Oryctolagus cuniculus: one gene and its partners. The protein of the gene in region 3 interacts with the protein of the main gene of each other region in a biochemical or structural test. Links are inferred from orthologs where the notes say so. Each region holds a gene or a part of one and is shown on either strand. Other genes may lie near its edges.

What was found.
Region 1: the proteins of PRMT5 (region 3) and RIOK1 are reported together in a solved structure, tested with the Homo sapiens proteins (2 studies listed by BioGRID, with this or other methods). The link is inferred for Oryctolagus cuniculus from reciprocal best matches to the Homo sapiens genes PRMT5 and RIOK1.
Region 2: the proteins of PRMT5 (region 3) and COPRS form a complex in vitro, tested with the Homo sapiens proteins (3 studies listed by BioGRID, with this or other methods). The link is inferred for Oryctolagus cuniculus from reciprocal best matches to the Homo sapiens genes PRMT5 and COPRS.
Region 4: the proteins of PRMT5 (region 3) and SNRPD1 form a complex in vitro, tested with the Homo sapiens proteins (2 studies listed by BioGRID, with this or other methods). The link is inferred for Oryctolagus cuniculus from reciprocal best matches to the Homo sapiens genes PRMT5 and SNRPD1.

Annotation. Positions count from the first base shown.
Region 1 is NC_091436.1:163,183,756-163,188,269, forward strand, and holds the start of RIOK1 (serine/threonine-protein kinase RIO1), read right to left. Parts: upstream 2,950-4,514; 5' UTR 2,884-2,949; coding exon 2,816-2,883; intron 1-2,815. UniProt on the Homo sapiens protein: Involved in the final steps of cytoplasmic maturation of the 40S ribosomal subunit. Involved in processing of 18S-E pre-rRNA to the mature 18S rRNA. Required for the recycling of NOB1 and PNO1 from the late 40S precursor.
Region 2 is NC_091448.1:42,255,584-42,260,139, forward strand, and holds the start of COPRS (coordinator of PRMT5 and differentiation stimulator), read left to right. Parts: upstream 1-1,486; 5' UTR 1,487-1,578; coding exon 1,579-1,677; intron 1,678-1,767; exon of another isoform or gene 1,768-1,952; coding exon of another isoform or gene 1,953-2,015; intron 2,016-3,541; coding exon 3,542-3,608; intron 3,609-4,556. UniProt on the Homo sapiens protein: Histone-binding protein required for histone H4 methyltransferase activity of PRMT5.
Region 3 is NC_091443.1:52,089,239-52,092,835, forward strand, and holds the end of PRMT5 (protein arginine N-methyltransferase 5), read left to right. Parts: intron 1-207; coding exon 208-317; intron 318-525; coding exon 526-619; intron 620-757; coding exon 758-874; intron 875-1,066; coding exon 1,067-1,131; intron 1,132-2,265; coding exon 2,266-2,418; 3' UTR 2,419-2,822; downstream 2,823-3,597. UniProt on the Homo sapiens protein: Arginine methyltransferase that can both catalyze the formation of omega-N monomethylarginine (MMA) and symmetrical dimethylarginine (sDMA), with a preference for the formation of MMA.
Region 4 is NC_091441.1:56,034,661-56,038,726, forward strand, and holds the start of SNRPD1 (small nuclear ribonucleoprotein Sm D1), read right to left. Parts: upstream 2,801-4,066; 5' UTR 2,608-2,800; coding exon 2,594-2,607; intron 2,508-2,593; exon of another isoform or gene 2,334-2,507; intron 1-2,333. UniProt on the Homo sapiens protein: Plays a role in pre-mRNA splicing as a core component of the spliceosomal U1, U2, U4 and U5 small nuclear ribonucleoproteins (snRNPs), the building blocks of the spliceosome.

The DNA of each region.
Region 1 (4,514 bases), on a different chromosome or scaffold from region 3:
CTGTGAGGCTAATGAATGAGCGTACTGTCACCACTCTCTGTTCTTCACCAGCCCAGCGGGGTGATTCTCTCTTCCCACTTCACTTCTCTGAGACCTCTGTCCGCTGATCTGTAACCACAAAACTGGAATGCCCAATCTCCTCTCTCTGGCTAACCCTACCCAGCCCACTATCACTTGCTCAGGGATATCTGCCCATTCTTCACCCACATCTCCTTTGGACCGGTGACCTGATTATCTAATATCAGTTTTCTCTGCCAGAGTGCAAGCTCTGTGTTAGGATAACGTTTACCAACGTATCCACACCACCTAACACTAGATCTCACATGTAGAAAGAGGTCAACACACATTTACTGGGGCCAGCGCTGTGGAGTAGCCGGTTAAGGGGCCGGCTGCAACACCAGCATATCTTATGGGAGCTCCTTTCTGATCCAGCTCCCTGCGGATGCACCTGGGGAAGCAGTAGAAGTTGGCCCAAGTGCTTGGGCCCCTGCAGCCACATGGGAGACCCAGAAAAAGATCCTGGCCCACCCTGGCCTTTGCAGCCATCTGGGAAGTGAACCAGTGGATGGAAGATCTCTCTCTGTAATTCTACCTTTCAAATAAATAAATCTTTAAATATATATATATATATTTACTGTAAAAATTCCTAATTGATTAATAAATCTTTACCTTAAAGTATAAATGGTTTTCCTGGAATTCCAAAGTAACTCTTAATACATTTCATTTTGTTTTTAAAGAATTATTTATTTGAACACAGAGTGACTGAAAAAGAGGGAGACACAGATCTTTCATCCGCTGGTTCACTCTCCAAATGGCCACAACAGCCAGGGCAGGACCAGGCCACAGCCAGGCGTCAGGAACCCCATCTGGGTCTCCCACATGGGTGCAGGGACCCAGGCACTGGCCCATCTTCCACTGCTTTCGCAGCGCAGCAGCAGGGAGCTGGGTGAGAAGTGCAGCAGCTGGGACCCTCACTGGTAAGGGAAGCTGTGCACAGCGCCGGCCCCCGGTTTGTTTCTAATATAGGGGTCTCCTCTTTCCTCTTTTCCATGTCTAATCCACCACCAGATCTTGCCTTTCGACACCTAAAACCTATCTCCAGGACCCCCAACATTCTCATCCTTCACCCTGGAACCTCGGAACTTGGCTTCTGTCCACTCTTGCCCCCTTCACTACCATCTCCTGCACCTCTCAATCTGAACCCAACGTCAAGCTCTTGCTAAATCCTTCCTACGACTTTCTGCAGTGCTCAGAACAGTGATCTCAACACCGCCCGGTCACTCTGGGCTCCACAGTATCTGGCCCTTCTCCCCCGGTCACTCTGGGCTCCACAGTATCTGAACCCTTCTCCCCCGGTCACTCTGGGCTCCACAGTATCTGGCCCCTCCTCCCGGTCACTCTGGGCTCCACAGTATCTGGCCCCTCCTCCCGGTCACTCTGGGCTCCACAGTATCTGGCCCCTCCTCCCGGTCACTCTGGGCTCCACAGTATCCGAACCCTTCTCTGGGTCACTCTGGGCTCCACAGTATCTGAACCCTCCTCCCGGTCACTCTGGGCTCCACAGTATCTGAACCCTTCTCCCCCAGTCACTCTGGGCTCCACAGTATCTGGCCCCTCCTCCCGGTCACTCTGGGCTCCACAGTATCTGAACCCTTCTCCCCAGTGCCACCTCCAATCCCCCTAACTGTGCTCCAGGCACACCGGCCTCTTCGTGTCCCTTTGCCAGCTGACCCCGGGGCCTTTGCACGCGTCCTGGGCCAGAAACGCCACTCCCTCTGCTCTTGTTAGGGTAGTGCCTTCTTCCTGCTTCACCCTTCCGGAATCACTCTGGCACTACTTTGCATATTAACTGACTTTAATTATTTTTTAAAAAAGTTTGCACCAAAATAAAGGTCTTTTAACCCCATTTTCCACCAGATTTCTAAAATACCATCGCATATATCTTTTATTTTAACGGCCTTCCCTCTCTCCCAAATAGAAAATAAAGTTCTACAAACCCCATTACCATGCCCAGGTGCTCAACAAACCCCTGGGCAGCGCAGAACGCCCCGGGGCCAGCGCTCCCCGACCCCGCCTCGCCACAGCCAATGCTCCCCGACCCCTCCTCTCCGTGGCCGGCGCTCCCCGACGCTGCCTCTCTACGGCCGGGACTCCCCGACCCCCCGACCCCTCCTCTCCGTGGCCGGCCCTCCCCGACCCTGCGACCCCCCCTCTCCGTGGCCGGCCCTCCCCGACCCTGCGACCCCCCCTCTCCGTGGCCGGCCCTCCCCGACCCTGCGACCCCCCCTCTTCGTGGCCGGCCCTCCCCGACCCTGCGACCCCTCCTCCCCGTGGCCTCCCCGTGGCCGGCCCTCCCCGACCCCTCCTCTCCGTGGCTGCCCCCCCCCCGACCCCTCCTCCCCGTGGCCGGTGCTCCCCGACCCTGCGACCCCGCCTCCCCGTGGCCGGCCCTCCCCGACCCCTCCTCTCCGTGGCTGGCCCCCCCCCGACCCCTCCTCCCCGTGGCCGGCCCTCCCCGACCCCTCCTCCCCGTGGCCTCCCCGTGGCCTCCCCGTGGCCGGCCCTCCCCGACCCCTCCTCTCCGTGGCTGGCCCCCCCCGACCCCGCCTCTCCGTGGCCGGCCCTCCCCGACCCCTCCTCTCCGTGGCCGGCGCTCCCCGACCCCGCCTCTCCACCGTGGGCGCACCGACTCGGCAAGCGGCCTTCATTCGCGCTGCCCAAGAGAGAAAACACAGCTGCCAAGCGAGAGCGGGCCAGGAACCCCTGCGGACTCCCCGAGAAGGGGTCGCACGATCGGAACCGCGGCGTCCGATACCTGTCGGAGTCCGCGTCGTCGAACTGGCCGGGCACCACCCGGCCCATCAGGACCCGCCGGTAGTCCATGACCGAGGGCGCCGGGACGGGAACGCCACGCACACGGCCTTCCCTGCGGCCTTCCAACGGCTTTTCCGCGACCCCCACCTCGCAAACGGTTTAGAATCCCACCAGCGGCCAACACCGCCCGCCACGCGCCTCGGAGCGCCGGACCCACAGTCACACAGCGCGCCGCGGCACGTGCCCCGGAAGTCCCGCCCCTCCCGGAAGTGCGGCTCGGCCGGAAGCCCCGCCCCCGCGCCGGGCAGTGGGCCTGGCCGGACGGTGCGCGAGGAGGACCAACCGAAGCGTCAGGTGGGCGGCATCCAGTGGCGGCCGCTCCGCCCCGAGTGTGTGTGTGTGTGTCTGCCGGCGGAGGCGCGCGGCTGCGGGTGCACAGGCCGCTCGGCCTGGGGATCTCGCACTCTCGTAACGTCGCCGCTTTAGGACGAGGGACGCCGAGGCTCGCTCGCCGGCGAGCGCGGGTGGCGTCACACAGGCGCGTTCCAGCCGCGAGCCCCCGGCGAGTTTGTGGCAGCCGTCGTTGGGAGTGGGTGGTGGGTGTTGTCGCTGCCTCTCGACCCTCGGTCTGCAGGGAGGAAGCCGCGGAGTCGCCAGGGTGGGCCCAGGCGGGTCTCTGGGTCCCCGGAGTGAGCACACTTTGGCGTCTTGGAGAGTTTGGTGCGTGGTTTTGGGATGAACGTGAGATAAGTGCAAAGTTCGAAGAAACTTTAAACAGGAAACGGTGGCGTTTCGGTCCCTCACTCCCAGGGCGTGCGCCTTCAGACAGCTTTAAATGGCCCTGGAGTATCCGTCCCAACATTCCAATAACTGATGTTTTAAAATCTACCAGAAATCTGGCGAGGACGTAAATGAAAGGTGGGAGTGTCGTGGAAGAGATCGCGGGCCCGCGCAGCCAGGCCGGTGCCCGGGGTCCGCTCGCAGAGCCGGGGGCCAGGCGCCTTGGCCCCACTCCCGGCCTTCCCCAGGGGTTCAGGTCAAGGGGTCTTAGCGCCGGAAGTTGGGGTCGGCTTCTGCCTGGCCTCGGTGACCCCTCCGCTGGCCAGCGACTTGGAGTCCTTGTGGGGATTCTGAGCGTGGCCAAGTGGGCTCAGTCTGGGGGCTCCGTGCGGGTGGTGGGTAGCGGTTTGCACAGGGCCGGGGGGATTCCTCAACCAGACCCCTGTAGAGGGGATAGGTGACCTAAGTCCTGCGACCTGGACCCTGGGGGCCAGCTGAGCTGTACCCGCCCCTTCAATTTAGTGGGCTTTTTTTTTTTTTTTTTTTAAGAAGGAAAGGAGGGGAGCTTCCATCCCTGGTTCACCCCACAAGTGGCTGTGATGGCTGGGGCTGGCCAGGCTGAAACCAGGAGCCTGGCGCTCCATCCAGGTCCACGTGGGTGCCAGGGGCCCAAGCACTTGGGCCATCATCGCTGCTTTCCCAGGCGCCTTAGCAGAATGCTGGGTCGGAAGTGGAGCAGCCGGGACTCGAACCAGCCCCCACGTGGGATGCTAGCTCTGCAAATGGCAGCCGTACCTGCCACGGCACAGCGCAGGCCCCTGGCGTACTGACTCACACTTTGTGGAATAATGGCATGGATTCAAAATGACTAATCGTCGATAAACTGTTTATCAGTTCAGTGATTCCACAAAATGATTAGA
Region 2 (4,556 bases), on a different chromosome or scaffold from region 3:
GGGGAGGGGGGACGGGGACACCCAAACATTGAATATTATGTCACTGTTGGCTTTCTTCCCCCAAATGCCGCAAAGTGTGTGTGTGCTTTTAAGATTTATTTATTTGAAAGAGTTAAACAGAGAGGAGAGGCAGAGAGAGAGAGAGAGAGGTCTTCCATCTGCTGGTTCACTCCCCAAATGGCCGCCAACGGCCAGAGCTGTGCTGATCAAGAGCCAGGAGCTTCTTCCTAGTCTCCCACGTGGGTGCAGGGGCCCAAGGACTTGGGCCATCTTCTGTTTCACAGGCCATAGCAGAGAGCTGGACAGGAAGTGGAGCAGCCGGGTCTCGAACTGGCACCCATCTGGGATGCCTGAGCTTCAGGCCAGGGTGTTAACCCACTGTGCTACAACGCAGGCCCCACAAAGTGGTTTACAGACAACAAAATTCCTCTAGGGAGGCGCTCTAATGTCCCAAGAGGTCATAAGGTTTCCTGGTGAGCAAGGAGTCCCAGCTTCTGGCTTTTTGCTCCTTAAAGGTTAACATGTGAGTGGCCAGGGCTCCCTGGTTTAATCCTCCGTTTGCAGCGCCGGCATCACATGTGGCCGCCGGGTTCTAGTCCTGGTGGCTCCTCTTCCAGTCCAGCTCTCTGCTTTGGCCCGGGAAGGCAGTGGAGGATAGCCCAAGTGCTTGGACCCTGCACCCACGTGGGAGACCAGGAAGAAACACCTAGCTCCTGACTTCAGATCGGAGCAGCTCCGGCCGTAGCGGCCATTTTGGGAGTGAACCAAGGGAAAGAAGACCTTTCTATCTATCTGTCAAAAAAAAAAAGAAAAAAAGAAAAAGTTAACGTGATTATCACGCGTGGTCGGTGGCCAGCAGGGAAGGCAATGAAGGCCCTTGCTGCATGGGAGGCACCCCTCTTAGTCCTTAGAGGCAAAATGGGGAATAACTGGTGGCAGACCCAAATCTCAGCGTGGGAAGGTCGGAGCCCTGGTCGGATTCCACCACTAGTGCAGAATATTTAACCGTGTCCACACATTGCAGCTGTTTGAACAGCTGCCCTGGTTCCCAATAGACTGTTGTAACTCGAGGTGGGGCGTCGCTGGCTGCTAGGTTGTCTCGTTCGTTGAGGTTGTTAGGGTCTAATTCCAGTGGACCCAGAAAGAGGGTGAAACGTGGCTGGAGCCTCAAACTGCATTCTGAGTTTTGACAGCTCGGCTTCAGACGGTGTCAGGGCCGCTCCGGTATTCGTGTTCTAATGGGGAATGGAGGTTTTGCAGCTGAACACATCGGGTGTGGCAGAGTGGAGCTGGGATTCGGCCCTGCCGGCCCAGCCCGCGTTCCAGGCCGGGCGTTTGCGCGTGGGAGCCACCAGAACCAGTACTCCAGACTGGCTCCGTTTCTCACCGGGTAGGCAGGGGGCTCTGCGGTGGCGACGCGCCCCGCCCCCGGCGTCCTCGTGACCCGGTGTCCCGCCCCCGCGGCCGGGAGCACCCCGGCTGATTGGCCCCTGCGCGGCGTATCCTCAGGCTGGCAGCCAGGCTGGCGCATCACGTGGCCGAGCCGCGTCCAGGGCGCCCAGCCGTGGGCAGCTCGGCATGGACCCGCAGGCCGCCGGGGCCCGGGCACGGGGCGTCACGGAACCGCCTCGGGGCCCGCCGCTACCGAGCACGCGGGAGGCGCCCCGCAGCCTGGAGGTGAGCGCCGCGCGCGGGCCGAGCGCCGCCACCACCTGCAGCCAGTGCGGGAAGTTGGGGGCTCGCGGGGCGGTGCCCGGTGCGGGGCGCGGACAGCGCCACGGGCCGCTCCACAAGCCCTGAGCGCCGTTTGGGCTCGCGCTGGAGCTGGAAACGGCTGGCCGAGGAGCAGCGGGGCTTCGAGGCTGCCGGGCCGGGAGCTCCGAGGGGCGTGGGTGGGCGCGCCGGTCCCACTGAGGCTATTGGCCCACAGGGCGCCTCTGCGTACTTACTAAATGGGAGGTGATGTTGGGGACGGAGAGCTGGGGCCCGCTACTAGGGGCCTGGGCCCCGGCCAGGTGAGGGCTGCAAGGGGAGGGCTTCGCCTGGAGGAGCCCTGTTCACTGACTGAGGGTGGGGGGACGCTCACTATCCCCCGAGCGCTGAGGGGTGGGTGGGTGTCCCATGCACTCTCCGTTTACGGAGACCCGAAGGCCAGGTTTGACGCAGGGTTTGCAGAAACTTGCTTTCAGGTGCGCTCCAGGCAGCCCCCGTGTTTCCGAGACCGCTGTCGCAGTGCTCGCCTGTCCTTGTCTACAGTGTCTGCCTAGACGACAGCTCCTCCGTTTAGGGCTGGGAGCCCAGCGCCTAGCACGCGGGACAGGCGTAGTAATTGGGTGGACACAGCAGAGATGGGCCTTAACCAGAGACGTGCACGCGGCGGCAACGCTTGTAGTCGGGGAGAGCAGGGAGGGCTGCGCGCTGGCTCTCGCAGGTGGGAGTCCGGTGGTGCCTGCGGAGGCTGGCCAGGAAGAAGCGCAGGGCAAGTGGCTCAGAGCTGGGGCGGCGGCGTGGAGAAGCATGCTGAACAGGTCGTGGGGGGCGGGTGCCTTTGTGTTTGCTGGTGGAGGGCTGTTGAAGCTGTTGACCAGAGTGGTGATTAACCCTGTGGGTGGGGGAATTCGGAGGTCAAGGCCTCCTTAGCTTAGCCTCATCCCGCTGGTGGGCAGCCCTGAGCAATTGCTGCTGACCACTGGAAGTGGAATCACTTAAGGGAGGCATGGCTAGGCGAGGAGTGATGATTGGATTGAAACAGGTGCAGTTTAGATGTAGGATCAGAGGAGGTGAGTCTAAATTCTAGACGCCTCGCATTCCTGCCCGTGCGCTGGGAGAGCTCTTAGACGTTAGGTAGTAGGAACCACTCTCCCCTGTTTCCAGGGAAGAAAGCCCAGGGGCTGAAGCCAGGTGGCCCAGACAGTACCCTGAGTGGCAGAGCTGGGGCTGAAGGTGGGGCTTCCTGCGAGCGCTTCTGGGGCAATTAGAGCGTTTGGGAGACTTGTGGGTGCTGGAGGCAGAGAAGCTTCCGGCCGGCTGCAGGGGAGGGTGATTTCCAGCTGGTTTAGAGCTGTTTATTTCAGCCAGCACCACTCAGGACAGAGAGTTCCACTCCCATCCTGTGCCAGTGAGAAGAGGCAAAGAGTTGTGAACTAAATACTAAGTAACCAGAAAGGTCAAAAAGATGTCTGGAGGAAGCAGTGGGCAGGAAACAGCCAGGACAGCTCTGCAGAGCTGAAATCCAACCTGCTGCAGCTGGTGCTGAGGTCTCTGAGCTGGGAGAGTAGGGACCCTGGGCTCCAGACCTCTGACAAGAGGGCCCAGTGATGACACGGCCACCTCAGGTGTCCACACAGCTGTAGCCAGGGGTGCAGCCGTGTTGTTGGGATGGTGCCTGGAGAATTAGAAAGGCCAGCTGGATCTAACAGGGGGAGACAGAAATGTGGATCCCCATCAAGAGTGTGGGACTGGGACTCGACCTGAGAGGCAATGGCTTAGTACCAGGATCCGGGGCACCTGAGTTCCTGGTAATCGGTTGTTCTTCCTGCAGGCCACCTTCGCCACAGCAGACCCCAGTGGTCCAGAGACAGAGGCTGAGACGGCCACGGATCGACTAGGCAAGTAGATGTCGGAGCGGCCGTGATGGTCTCTACGTCTTGTTTCCCTGTTCCTTCTAACCAGCCCTCTGCTGCCGAGGTGCCTCCCCTGTCGCGTTTCAGCAATGCTTTCCGTTGAAAGCCCTGCCCAGGCTACCGTAAGGGAAATCCTGGACTTGGCTTACATCCCAACTCATCTCTTCAACTGAGAGCCAGCTCGCAGCCGTGACACGTGGGGGCTTGGGAGGCAGGCAGAATTGTATTTTCAACTCTGAGAGCCCTGGAATGGAGTATCATGGACTTGACAGTGAGACGAATAAGACCTACTCCCTAGGGTTGTTCTCAGGATTGGGGGACAGAGCGAGGAATCGTGTGGGTCTGTTACAGCAGCCGCTAGCCACAGGTGCAGTTGAAGTTAGTTCTAAGGCAGTACCACAGGAAACTCAGCTTCTCAGGCCACATTCCACGTGCTCAGTAGCCACGTGTGGGTAGTGCTGCCTTGTTGGACAGCAGTGATGCTAGAACATTTCCGTCTCGGCAGGAAGTTCGAATGGGAAGTGTTGGTCTAGATCACGCAGTCGCAGGTGTAACAGTCCCAGTAATGGAAACCTTTGAGCGCTCCTGTCGACAGGTGTAGTCTGTTTCTATTGTTTCCTTTCCCCCCCCCCACATCTCACAACAAACCTGTCTCCATTTTACAAATGAGGAAACAGATACAGCGTAGTTAATACAAAAAAAAAGTTTTTTTAAAATTTTATGTACTTGAAAAGTAGAATGAGGGGGTGGGGAAAGAGGGAGATATCTTCCTCTGGTTTACTCCCCAAATGGCCTCATTGTCTGGGGCTGGCCCAGGCTGAAGCCAGGAGCCTGTAACTCCACTGGGGTCTCCCCCAGGGGTGGCAGGGGCTCAAGCACTAGGGTCATCTTCCTCTGTCTTCCCAGGGACATCAGCAGGGAGCTGGATAAGAT
Region 3 (3,597 bases):
CTTGTGTTATTCTGTACATTAATCTAGAGGTAGATTTCCCCCATGTTAGGAGTTAGGGACAGGCCAGCCTGGATGTGACAGCACTTAGTGACTTCTGCCATTCTCATGCCAGCCTTGGTCTATGTGGACGTGGGAGGTCTGAGGCTTTGGTTAGTGCAGGCACAGCTCATTTCCCTCCCTTGGGAATCTGACCCTCCTGCTCTGCAGATGATGGCGTGAGCATCCCTGGGGAGTACACCTCCTTCCTGGCTCCCATCTCCTCCTCCAAGCTGTACAATGAGGTTCGAGCCTGTCGGGAAAAGGACCGTGACCCTGAGGTAAAGAGCCACCGTCCTGGGGAAGGACAAAGTAGTATTCCGCTCCTGGAGAAGATGAGGAGATGGAGAAATGGGGATGGGGGGAAGTGGATCAAGGGAAACTGTGTTTCTCTCTGTACCCCTGGGCTTTTGAGTGTTTCCCTGAGGAGGTAGGCTCTCTTGCCTGTCTCCTCCAGCTCTCCCTCTTGCTCTTTCTTACGCGGGACAGGCCCAGTTTGAGATGCCTTATGTGGTGCGGCTGCACAACTTCCACCAGCTCTCTGCGCCTCAGCCCTGTTTCACCTTCAGCCATCCCAACAGAGGTGGGTTCCTGCGTGGCCTCTGTCCTCACCCCCCTGCTTTCTCCCCTTGCTGTCCCGTCCACCTTACATGGTCCAAGCTTCACCAAGTGGCCTAGGGCTTCCGGTCCCTCATCATCCATAGAGTTCTTTTCCTTGCAGATCCTCTGATTGACAACAACCGCTACTGCACCTTGGAGTTCCCCGTGGAGGTGAACACGGTGCTGCATGGCTTCGCGGGCTACTTCGAGACTGTGCTTTATCGGGACATCACTCTGAGTGAGTGTCTTGGGCTGTGGATGGCAGGATATGCGGGTGTGGTGCGGGCTTGTGTTTGTGTCTCCTTTGGATTCCTGGGGAGCCCAGGAGTCCATGAATGGAGATCTTTGGTTGCTTATGATCACAGAACAGCCTCTCCTAGATAAAAGGCTCAGTCTTGGAGAACGGGGTGTTTTTCATTTGTCCACACAGGTATCCGTCCAGAGACTCACTCTCCTGGGATGTTCTCTTGGTTTCCCATCCTCTTCCCCATTAAGGTAGGAATCACCTTTAAGACTGACAGTTAAGGAGTAGCTTGTGCCATTGGTGTTGTGCCCCCTTCCCTCTCCTAAGCTGATACCTGTGACCCAGTGTTCTGCTCTTACAAGCTCTTCTATTCCACTTGTAGGTGCTGGAATTATCTGCAAGAGCCTTCTACCTACATCTCTCCTGGCTACTCTTCTGTCCAATCTCTCTTTTTCCCTCTCCCTCTCCCTCTCTCTTTACCTCTCTCTACCTCTCCTTCCCTCCCTCTCTCTCTCTTTTTTTCTTAAAAAAAAAAAAAAAAACAAAAAAAACTATGACTTTATCCTTTATCTCTCCCCTGTCTAAAACACTTCAATGCCTTCTCATAACCCTTAGGATAAAGATCAAAATCCGGAACATTGCTTACAAGCCTTGGAGTGTCTCGCCTTACTTGCCTTTTCAGAGACTGTCCTGTTGCTTACATGGCTTCAGCCCTGCAGACCTTCTGGTTCCTCTAAGTGCCCATCCTCTTTCTTCCCTCAGGTTTTCTCACCTCTCTCCTAGCCTGGCAGGTTCTTTGCTCATGTTTTCCTCCAGTCAACCTCTCCTGGAGGTCTCCTTGTGCATTTTTATTATCAGATAAACTTTCCCTGACCACCTTTCACAGGTGTTTTAAATTGTAGTCTTTAAGATTTATTTATGTATTTTTAAAGGCAGAGTCATAAAGAAGGAGGGAGGGATGGAGAGATCTTCCATCTACTGGTTCACTACCCAAGTGGCCAGGTCAAAGCCATGAACCTGGAACTCTCTCCAGGTCTCCCACATGGGTGGCACTTGGGCCATCTTCTGCTTTCCCAGGGGCATTAGCAGGGAGTTGTATTGTAAGCGGTACAGCCTGGTCTTGAACTGACGCTCTGCAGGATGGCAGCTCAGTCTGCTGTGCCACAGCGCCAGCTCCTCATAGGTGTTTTCATAAGCCCCTGATTTACCATAGTTTTGATGATTTGCTCAGTGTCTGCTGAGTGTTCTGATAGACTTTAAGTAAGCTTCATGAGGGTTGGAAACAGTCTGTTGGGTTTATCATTTTAGCTCCACACCTACCTTAATATGCTGTCACAAATAATTTATTAGCTCCACATCAAACCTCCCTATCTTGCTTCTTGCAGCAACCCATTACAGTGCGTGAAGGCCAGACTATTTGTGTGCGTTTCTGGCGATGCAGCAACTCCAAGAAGGTGTGGTACGAATGGGCTGTGACAGCACCAGTTTGTTCTGCTATTCACAACCCTACCGGCCGCTCATACACCATTGGCCTCTGATGCTCCGTGCAAGTGTCCAGAGCCTTGAAAGCGGCTTCAGGTTCTGCTCTTGTAGCACAGAAGGTGCTGTACATCTCTGGGCTGTGATTCCGCTTGCCCGAGAGAGAGGAGCATTTCAGTCTGATTTCCTGCCTTCCATCGAGGTGGGCAAAGGATAAGAATTAATTGCAAGGCTAAAGCCAGCAATCTGTGAAGACCTCAGATCAGGACATGAGGAATTGGTAGTCTGGGACCTGAAGCTACACCGACAGGCACTCAGCCTCAAGAACTTCCTGGAATAGCCCTGAGAACGTGTGGATTGAAACATTTTCAGTCCTTCCTCTGCTCCTCTCTGTTCTTGTTTTGATGGTTTTGTGTAAGAGGAAATACAAATAAAGTGAAGTTATGGCCCTTTCTTGCTCTGATCTGCTGTTCACTGCTTCTATTTGCCCACACCTTTTAGACCCAGGCATTTTCAGGCCTGTGCCCTTACCCTTTCAAGACCCATAGGGGCCGAGCTTTATTTCCTACTTGGGTGAGCAGTGACTCCTGGACATGGGCCTTTCTAACCAGCTAGAGCGAGCCCTTGTCCAGTAGGGTCTGTGTCAGGCTTTTCTCTGGGGAAAAGGCATAGAGTTCGTTGCCTTGGACAGAGAAAGGGCGTGAAGCCAGCTTCCCTTCCACCTAACTGAGTTGCCACACTGCCAGCTCTTGGGGAAAAACTGGAAGCCATCCAGGCAAGCCAAGTATTGGGTTTGAATAAAATCAGCAGGTTAGGGTTTGAAATCAGATCATCTAGTTCAATTTTCGGCCTTACAGCCTGGGGAGATGAAGTCTTCAACGGCATAATGTGCCTACGCGCCCAAATCAAAACGGGAACTCAGGTTCTCTAACTGGCGCTTAGCACCTGTGTCAGGCAGCTGAAGCCTGCAGGGGTACTGGAAGCCCTAGGGAAGTGAGGGGAGAGAATGCTCCCTTCTCCTGGTTAGAAGTCTGGGAGTACTGCTGCACCCATCACCTGAGAAGTTTCCCGCTGCAGTGCTAAGTCTGGGGCATGGATTTGAACTGAAGGTGTGTGACTTACGGGACCAGGCAGTGCGGCTGAGGCAATGTGCAAGAAGGCAAGCCCTGGGCTTCCCAGATAATCAGTCGCTGAGATTGGGAGGGTGGTGTGGAGCCTGGCATCCCTGACGTGAAACA
Region 4 (4,066 bases), on a different chromosome or scaffold from region 3:
CCAGCAGACGCTCTGGGCTCCTGGCTTCAGCCTGACCCAGCCCTAGCTGTTGTGGTCAGTTGGGAAGTGAACCAGCGAATGAAGATCTCGCTCTCTTTCAAATAAATAAAAAATAAATCTTAAAAATATATATACATACGTATATGACAAAGGACTGGTATCCAGGATATACAGAATTGTAACAACCCAGTAATAAAAAGAAACCATCAAAATAAACAACAGATTCAAACATAACATCACAACAGATGTGCAAATAGCTAATAAGCATTAGTCATTAGAAAAATACAAACTAAAACTTAAGGAAACACTACCATATACCCACTAAAATCCATAAAATTAAGCAGATTGACAACAACAAATGCTGGTGAGGAAGTGGAGCAATTGGAAGTCTAACATATTGCTATTAGAAGTTTAAAATGGTACAAGCACTTTGAAAAATGGTAGGGCATTTCTTATGAAGTTAAACATATCCTTACCCTATGTAGAATTCTGCATGTCTGCTCCTAAGTATACCCTATGTAGGATTCTGCATGTCTACTCCTAAGTATTTACCCAAGAAAAATCAAAGCTATGTATACAGAGATTTGCATAAGGATGTTCAAAACAGCTTTAAACAAAACATATCATTTTAAAACATACAATTGGACTACTATCCTACAATTAAATTTTTTTTTTTAAATACTGGGGGTGGGCGGCACTCAGCAGGTTAACCCTTTACTTGGGACAGCTTCCTATATTCCGTAACAGAGTGCAGGTTGTTGTACCAGCTGCTCTACTTCTGATCCAGCTCTCTGCTAATGCACCTAGGAAAACAACCCAAGATGGCCAGAGTGTTTGGGGCCCCTGTCACCCACGTGTGAGACCCAGACAGAATCCCTGGCTCCTGGTTTCAGTTGGCCCAGCCTGGGCTGTTGTGGCACTTAGAAAGCGAATCAGCAGTTGGGAGGCACTTCTCTGTGTTGCTCTGCCTTGTTTTAAATAAACAAATCTTTAAAGTAACAAAAAGCAAAACTAAATGTTGATGAATCTCAGGAGCATGCTAAGAAATCTTAAGCAAACATAAAAAAGACATATAGTCTTTTTTTATTCCAAAGAATAAATTCTACTGCAGGCAAAACTACAGTGGAAGAAACACATTGCTTTGGTGGATGTGGAGCTAAAAGTTGACTTGAGATAGCTTAAGGGAACTTCTTGAGGTTTTGGTATTTTACCATGGCAGGGGTTTGGGTTACACTAGTGTATAATTTTTCCACTCTCAGGAAATACACACTGAACTTCACTTAAGAAAGTGAAGTTTGTCTCCCTGGTTTTGGCTAGGGTGACAGGATAAGGATGATAATGCCACCAACTGAGATGCAGAAATAAATACAATGAGCATACACAAACTAATTAGTCAAACCATTTTCTTGAGGCAAGACACAAGAGGGTTTGTATCTACCTAGTACCTAAGACACAGAACGGGATTCAGCACACTCGTTAAAAATTACAGGGAAATTCTGCTAGAACATGTGCTATTTTCAAATGAGACAAACTGAATCTTCAGTGACAAAAAAAAAAAAAAAAAAAAAAAAAAAAAATTCATTAAGATTCAAACGAGCAGGTATGGAGAAATATAAAAATACACTGAGTTCTGAGACTGTTATACAAAGTTATAATTCAAATAAGAATGAACATTCACATTAAATGTCTTCTCTACAAACTCCACCCATAAAGTATAACTGTATTTCAAACATACTAGATGTTAACCACTTATCTGTCTTCAGCACTAAACAAAAAGTTCCAAGGCAGGGATTCTTGCCTTTAAGAAAATTCTATTATCGGCACACAGTAACTGTAACAGGTGCCCCATAACTGGTCAGCACTGCCAGTCTCGACTTGGGAGGAAAGAAACTCGTCAAATACTTCCAACCGCTAGCTTAGTACCAGAAACCACCGCTGGGCTGCAGGCTCAGCCTCCATGTAAAGCACCAAAATCTAACCTATCTGCAAGCAGTTTGGAACTAATTACAAACATCAATAAACAATCCTTTAGTAGGCTCAACTAAGCAACACAATCGCAGAAAGGAAACCGGAGGAATTACCAGCTATGTGTAACCAGCCACAATCAAAAAGTATTGGCTTTTGCCTCATAGTGGGAGATTTTTCTGATCAAAAGTCTAGGGAGCATCGAGAGAGACCAAAAACTTTAAAATCACAACTTGCAAACTAGTTCCTCTCTGATCTAAAACATGCTGCAAGTAGGCTTCCTTATTTCCATGATAAACTCCGTCTTCAGACCCACGGGAGCTCCATGCGCACAATGAGAATGGGTAACTAACGCGAGACCAAGCCACCTTCAAGGCCCCCAAGGCAGCAGGTGACAAGACGCAGCTCGGTCTTCAAGCCCGCCTCTTGGAAGACAGGCGAGGCTGAAGAACGATCGATCACGACCCGGAGCCGCGGCCAAGATGGGGCGCGCGCGGCGGGCGCCGCAGGCCGTTAGCAGGCCGCGCGCACGCGGCTTTCCCGCCTCCGGCCTCGGGACCGCTCAGCTTCCCGAGCCCGGCCCGAACCCTTACGGCTCAGCCCCCGCCTCGCTCGGCCACCTCCTCACCTCACGAGCTTCATCGTAGCGGCGCAATCGTCCTTTCTGCTCGATAACGCAGAGAATGCAACTACCGAGGACCGGCTAGGCGTATGAATGGCCGGAAACGCCTACTCCACGGGCTCCGGACGTAGCGAGCGCGCGGAGCACTGTGGACGTGCGGCGGAAACGCCGAGGCCTTGCTGGGCCACTTTGCCTTCCGGCCAAGGGGAGCGCGACTGCGACCCCTCGCTGCCGGAGGTATGCATTGCAGAGGCTGAGGGCGTGACTGTCTGTCTAAGGAGAGGGCGATTTGAACAGTTAAATCCAATTAGCAGTCGCCATCACGCTTCGGCACGGCGGGGCGCGTTGGCGAAGCACCAAATACAACTTCCTCCGTGAACAAAGAGCGGTTTTGAGAGAAACACAGGTTATTGCGAATTCTGGTCCAACACCAAGAACCTTATTTAGCATTACTGATGAATCTGAAGAAAATTGCAGAATTATGTTTCCGAGACACAGTTGTCTGTTTTCCTCGTACTCAACGTCTCAGTAACATTCAACACACTTCAGTTTTGAAATACCTTCTACCTTTGTTTCCCGGGCCAAGCACTCTGGGTTTCTCCCTAACCCACTAGCTGTTCTGTCTAGGCCTCTGAGTCTTTACACGTGTCAGGATGCTTCAGGGCTTACAGCTGTAGTCCTTTTTAGGAAAACTTTCTCCTTTAGCCTGGGCGATCTCCTCCAAAACTATGGTTTTAATTTGTAAATCTAGATTGAACTTCATCCATGATCACCAGAACTCTAGGATGTTGTAAGGCAATGCTCATCAAACTTTAATGTGCACAGGACAGACCCAAGGAATTTTTTAAATAAAGATTTATTTATTTTGAAAATCAGAGTTAACAGAGAAAGAGGGAGAGTCAGAGATCTTCCAACCATACGTTTTTCCCCAAGTGGCTGCAGCAGCCAAGGCAGAGCCAGGCTGAAGCCAGGAGCCCAGAGCTTCCTCCAGGTCTCCTACAAGGGTGCAGAGGCCCAAGCACTTAGGCCCTCTTCCGCTGCTTTCCCAGGTGCCTTAGCAGGGAGCTGGATCAGAAGTGGAGCAAGCCGGGACTTGAACTGGCACCCATGTGGGATGCTGGTGTTGTAGAGGCGGCTTTACCCGCTATGTCGCACCACCAGCCCCATTGAGGAAATTTGAAGATGAAAATTCTGGTTCAGTTGTTGTAGGGCCTGAAATTCTGCATTTCCAGAAGCCTTCAGTTGAAGATTTCCCTAGTCCATGGATCACAACTTGAGTAGCAAAGCTATGAGGCATATTTGTGAGCAGTCCTCACAACCTCTTCTACTCCCCTTTCTTCTCGAGAGTTCTCAGTATTCTTCTGGAGACGCACGTGGTCCTCAGGAAGCTGACTCTACCCTTTATGTCAATGATCAGGTTCCTTTACTTGTCCACATTAGGACTGATCCGACCAGACCTTTGCATAGAATGTTCTTCCC